2 linked regions of the Yarrowia lipolytica genome follow. The protein of the gene in region 1 binds, or shares a complex with, the protein of each later gene. Links are inferred from orthologs where the notes say so. Each region holds a gene or a part of one and is shown in the gene's direction. Other genes may lie near its edges. The genes, in order: YALI1_C33217g and YALI1_E18081g.

Region 1 (3,050 bases):
GCTTTCGTTCGAAAAGTCAGACGATGCATCCAGCAGTTTCTCTTCAAGCGTCGTGTCTTTAACGAACTACAATCGTTAGGAGCCGAGGTTGATGCCGATGAAGCGTACAGAATGGTGCAACTCTCTCTACAGGGTGTCACATACACGCTTGTTTGTGGTCCCACCAGGGTAGAACGAGTTGTGGAGAAGCACAGTAAGCCGTTTCTCTTGGGTCCCTTGTCGGGATTGAGAAGGCGCATTGTTCGCGCCAATAGATAGCTCTTCTGACAAGAGATAGCTGCTCCGTTAGTAGTTCTCTATCGGCAAGTAGCTACTCGCTCTGACTAACAGTGGCTAGGCCACGATATTTATTCTTTTATAAGTTATTAATACCTGCACACATACTTACAGTACCGTGTACAACGTCTATCAATTGTTAGAGCCAACACTAGGCTTGGGTCGAGTCAGATAAGGAATAACGACGTAGACAAGCTGGACAGTCAGCAATCCAAAAATGACTCCCATAAGCTTCTCCCAGAAGGTGTGAAAGTACAGAGATGTCATAAAGTACATCCAAGTCCACAGAGCAGCGGTACCCAGAGCAATCTTGGCACTAAGCTTGTATGGTCGTCGCTTGATGTGAGGGATGGTCTCGTAGACGAGGAACATGGTGCTCAGCACCAGCAGGAAGCAGTGACCGGAAGGATCGTAGCCACCGATCCAGGTGCCCCCAGACCGTCTACAGGATGCTGATGATATCGTCTTACCAGTAATAGGGCTTGCGTTCTCCTTCTGGTACTCACACTTGCCACCGGTAGCCACAAAGAACCGGTCCATGATGGGGATACCAAGGAACCACTGGGTGAAGAGAAGCCACCACAGAGAGTGGATAATGTATCGGGAGAGCTGGCCAATGGGGGTAGGTGCAGAGATGCCGACCAGCAGTTTCAGAGCAGCGTTGGCCTTGCTATCGGAATTAGTTTCTGACACTCCGTCGTGGGTGGTTCCAGTTCGGGTTCCCGTAGAGGTGTTTGTGCCAAAGGAGACACCCAGGCCAATTGAACCAGAGAACGTCTCGTATACAATGTACCCAAATGCAATTGTGGTCCAGAGCCATCCATTCTTGACAAACAAGATGTTAAGGAAGTTTCGTTTGTCGGCAAAGTAGGTGTGGTCGACGATCTTGCCGACGAGGGCACCCAAGATAAGCACAGAGAATACCAAACCAATCAAGGACAGGTCAAGGAGAGAAAACATACCGTTTCCAAAACTCTTGGCGGTCAGCTCGGAGTGGAGGTCCGGGTGCTTGTAATTGTTGCGAACCGACGAGCTGGGGTTGGCGCCTCTTCTGTTGATGGGAGTCGTCCCATTTGCTTCTTGGGGTTGTCCCACGGGGATCTTGACGAGGTTGGGAAAAGACGATTCGAAGGCAGCGTCACCTTCACTGGCGGTATGAGTGCCGTCGGGGCCCACAACAGTGGTTGTGGAGACTGTTCCGCAGGTGGAAGTGGTGGTGGTCACTCCGTCGCTATCCACGGTTGTGGTTGTGGAAGTGAGTCCATCTGGACTGGTAATTGTTTCTTGCTTGACAATCTGGGGCTTTGACATTGTCGGTTTTGGAGAGTGGTAGCAATGCAACAGCAGCCTACTTGTAGTTTACCGTTTACCTTGCACTCAGCAGCCATGATAGCCAAATAGGCTTTCGTCACGTGTAGGGCTAGATTGGACAACGAGATTGCGGTATTTGCGGCATCTGTTTTGGGGTCTCCGGTCTCAACATTTTCATAAATATCCACTAGCGATAATAACTGCCAGGTTCCATTTCTTGCCCGAGCAGGCGCCCACTGACACGTCTATTTCAATGCCGACTTTATGTGCCACTGCACTTGCATATATCCTGCAAGCGACTTCCTGAAATCCAACAACACCACAATATCCACGGGAAAATGGCGGAGGTGGCAACAGCCGAAAAACCTGTGACCGACGGCATCCAGGACGGATCCGAACAGCCCGACCGGTCTCTTCGCTTTGAGGCCGAGCTGGAGGTGAGTATCGACGTCAGAACTTCGCCACAAACATGACCCACGTCGTGACATGATGACCCGTTCAATTAACACAGTTTGTTCAATCGCTGGCAAACCCGCAATACCTGTCATATCTGGCACACAACAAGTACTTAGAGTCACCAGAGTTCCTCAACTACCTCTCATACCTGGAGTATTGGCGAGAGCCAAAGTATGCAAGGTTCCTGGTCTACCCCAACTGTCTTCATGTTCTGAAACTGCTCCAGTACGCTACATTCCGCAAAGAAATCAGCCGGCCTGACTTTGCCAAGCAGCTCATGGACGAGTTCTACTACGCATGGATCAAGCCCAGTGAGGCCGGTGTGTTTGGAGATGACGATACGCTAGAGGGTCTGAAACGGGAGGACTCTCAGGCTCCGCCAGGACAAAACGTCAAGATGGAGAACAAGGACGGAGACGGCGATGTTCAGATGGCATAACTGTATCATCCTAAGAAAAAATCAGCATAATTAACCTACAATCCTTTTGGTGTGTGCAACTACTTACACAACCGTATGCCTTCTTCCAGCATGCATCATATAGAAATATATACTATTTTACATTTTCCCACGTCGTCTATATTATGTGGCAATCAGCTCTCGAGGAAGCATGATCTCGCTCACCTGCTTGATTCGCTGGATGAACTTGTCACGCTCATTGGGAGGCTTGGTGGGATCCTTCTCGCCCATATGGTATGGCAGCCACTTTGCCAAAAGCTCGCCGTCCTCCTTGCACGTAACCATATATAAGGTAGTGTTTTGGTTGGCGCCTAGAAGAGGCCGAGATGTGTTTAGACTGAAGTGGTAGAACTCGTGGTTGGGATCTGGAAGCAATGGAGGAGCCTCGTCCTCTTCTTCCTCTTCTTCCTCCGCAACCACCTCCTCAGTAGCAGGAGTCTCCTCGTCTCCTTCATTCCCCTCCTCCTTGGTAGGTTGCTGAGCAGCCTTCTTGATAGGCTTCTTCTTTTTCGGCTTGGGAGGGTGAGCCTCGTTGTATGCTATCAGCTCT
Region 2 (3,041 bases), on another chromosome or scaffold:
CTCCAGCAACTCCACTGTGGGCAGTACAGCCAAGTCTCAAGTTGGTGTCACTGCTGCCACCACTCCCAGCATGTCTCCAGATGGCCGTGAAGCTCGATTTTCTTCTGTCCAGAGTGAACATGCGGCGCGGGTTGCCAACCTCTTGAAGGACAACGGCAATCTCAGCAGAGCCTCTCCTGCCAACTCTCCTAATCCCAATCTCAATGCTTTCCCAGCACCCAATTTGTCTGTCAACCACCGACAGTCGTGGCGCTTCTCCGATGCTGATTTGGACATTGAGGAGGAGGAAGAGATGGACGGCGAGTCAGAGATCACCACGTCTCCCTATGCATCACCCCGAATCCCTCAGCGGTCTGAACGACGACGTGGATCCACTTCATACGATATCAATGGCTTCATCCAGACTCCTGGAGTTGCCCCCCAGACCTTGTTCAATTCTCCAAGATTGTCCCAACAGTTTGAGTCCTCTCCCCAGACATTGCAAACTCCTCAAACACCCTCTTCTTCGTCGTCTTCAAATGCAGGCTTCCGCAGAAAGAACCATGGCCTTGGACTCATCAAGAACCAGCCCTCTTCTGATTCGATTGGATCATCATGGACATCTCCGGGCTCAGACTTTGTCGAGCAGCACAACTGGTTGTGCCAGACTGCCCCACAGTCGGATCTTGAGAGTGCTGCCTCCACACCCAATGCGTCACAGACTACCTTCCGAAGGTCTGCCTTGTTGCCCTCTCCTCTATTATCTCAACAGCAACAGCAGCAGCAGCAGCAGCAACAGCAACAACACGGCCAGCAGCAGCAGACCCAACAGCAACAGCCTTACATGACTAATGGCAGACACCTTTCTACTTCATCGCTACCTTCTCACGGAGCGATTTTGGAGGATCTTGCTGAGGAAAACCCTGCACACCGACCTTCCGTGCCATATGAACAGACTCAAACTTGGATTTAGGTGATGTACGATACAACAATGCATTTTAATTATCACGTCTTCCCTGGACAATTTATCCACTTGTACCAGTATGTACAGCACAAGTAGTTACACTTTGTACGGTAGCACTATAGACCTTCCTTAGTCTACTGTAGTTACATGTGCTGGTACCGGTAGCTACTGTGACTGCAGCAAAAGGTCTACAGTGCTACCGTACCTCATGTCAGACAGCTACTTGTACTGTACAGTTTCGCACCTACGGTAGTGTACATACTGTATCGGTACTAGTAGATAAGAAATGTATCAAACAAATGTATGGGTTTACATTACCTGTAGGCACTCAGTTGCAACCGAAATACGACACTCGTTTCCCTGACCCCCCTGACATTTCCCTTCCTTGTATTATTCTCCAGTAAAACCGAGGCTAGAGAATGTTTTATGACTACTGTATGTACGATACACCTCCGAGGTCAAATTATGGGCCGATAAGCACACTACGGGTATGGGTACGAGACACCACAAACAAGTACTCAAGTAAACAAATGTATGGGGATTGGTGTCATTATAAAGAGGAAGACCTTGTCCTGTCAAATGGTGAGTAGTTGCTGATATTTTCGGTGGCGTATGTTGGTGTAGTCTACATCACAGAATGATGGACAATATGGTTGCCAGCTGTTCATACAACATTGCACAAGGGTTAGCGCGGAATATTATATGAATACATGCGGGCCGCACAGTTTGGTGGGAATACCTACCTACAGTACTGTAGACACCAGAGAGTGGGGCTTTTATTATGCCCTCCCATAGTCAAGTCTATCGATGTTGGTTTCAAATAGCGAGGTCAGTTGAACCATGTCGTAATCTACTGAAAGTGGTAGTCCAGCCAATAAGATTGGACACGTGCTAAACATATTGGACCGAGACATTCGACCCTAGACTTTTCCAATTGTGGTATTACGGAAGTCTTTTTGAACTTCGGTCTCATTTCCGCCTCCTCGTTTCGTTTATTGCGACTCGCATCCACATGCATGATACCTCCGGTTGAGATGGGTGCATACAGCACACATCTCCCAGAAAGCCAAATTATTAATCTCACTTTGGAGTATCAGAAACACGCGACGAAGACACATAACATGGCGGACCGACTGACCCAGCTACAGACGTGCGTGGATCAAATGCTGACCCAGTATTTCTCGGCACTAACGCACATTAACACCAACCATGGGTTCAAGTCGTTAGCGGGGGAAGAGTTGGTCAAGGACGATACGGTGCCTGTTGTCACAGACGAAGAACGCGAGAGAACGCTAGAGGAGCTGGCGAAAGACCTTGTGGTCAAGTCACAACAGATTGATTACCTCATAGATTCGTTGCCAGGTATCGGTTCTTCGGAGGAACATCAGATGCAGCAGATCGAAAAGCTGCAAAAGGAGCTGGAGCATTATGATCAGGTAACAGAAGACGTCATCAAGGAGAAGGACGAGTTGTTGGAGCACTGTGATGAACTGATTCTAAAGCTCGCACAGAGAAAGGCCCACATCGACGTGGAGAGCATGTAAGGATGGGCAAACACCCGATAAGCCTGCCCTGCGAAACGGGCAGCAGAAAAAGAGGCACGACGGGTAAGACTAGGCCTGCTCACATCCTACCGCGAGGCGTTCTTATCACTGGTAATACCAGAAGCCTCTAGCATCTTGTGGAGCTGGAGCACTCTGTTCTAATGGCGACATCTTTATAGAGTGCATCAATTTTTGTATTGTATGTATTATAAATAATCAAGAGGCTGCGACAGCGGCAACCTCAGTTTTTGTAGCGGTGGCGGTAGTCACGTCCCCAGTTGTAGGATCTTTCTCTTCATCCTTTTCGGTAGGCTTGATCTTGTTCTCCAAAGCTTCCAGTCTACTTTTGACATTTGCAAGTTCAACCATTTTATCAACAGCACTCTGGAAGTGGCCCTGTGCTATACGAAGCGTGTATGGTGGCATGATACCAAACATCCTGATGGGATCTGTTTTCGCTCCCTTCTCCTCCTTCTTGCTGTGTATCGTGAATTTCTCACTGGCATGTGACACCGTGATCTGGGCGCATTGGGGCCGCTCATCATAGCTAAACC

Evidence for each region.
Region 2: YALI1_C33217g (region 1) and YALI1_E18081g share a complex: the UniProt entries of both Schizosaccharomyces pombe proteins name them as parts of the mediator complex. The link is inferred for Yarrowia lipolytica from reciprocal best matches to the Schizosaccharomyces pombe genes med31 and srb7.

What each region holds. Positions count from the first base shown.
Region 1 is NC_090772.1:3,319,833-3,322,882, forward strand, and holds YALI1_C33217g (uncharacterized protein), read left to right. Parts: upstream 1-1,925; coding exon 1,926-2,024; intron 2,025-2,098; coding exon 2,099-2,482; downstream 2,483-3,050. Other genes in the region: YALI1_C33193g (uncharacterized protein), read left to right, coding at 1-258; YALI1_C33214g (uncharacterized protein), read right to left, coding at 409-1,587; YALI1_C33245g (uncharacterized protein), read right to left, coding at 2,624-3,050. UniProt on the Schizosaccharomyces pombe protein: Component of the Mediator complex, a coactivator involved in the regulated transcription of nearly all RNA polymerase II-dependent genes.
Region 2 is NC_090774.1:1,806,176-1,809,216, forward strand, and holds YALI1_E18081g (uncharacterized protein), read left to right. Parts: upstream 1-1,959; coding exon 1,960-2,487; downstream 2,488-3,041. Other genes in the region: YALI1_E18025g (uncharacterized protein), read left to right, coding at 1-952; YALI1_E18095g (uncharacterized protein), read right to left, coding at 2,704-3,041. UniProt on the Schizosaccharomyces pombe protein: Component of the Mediator complex, a coactivator involved in the regulated transcription of nearly all RNA polymerase II-dependent genes.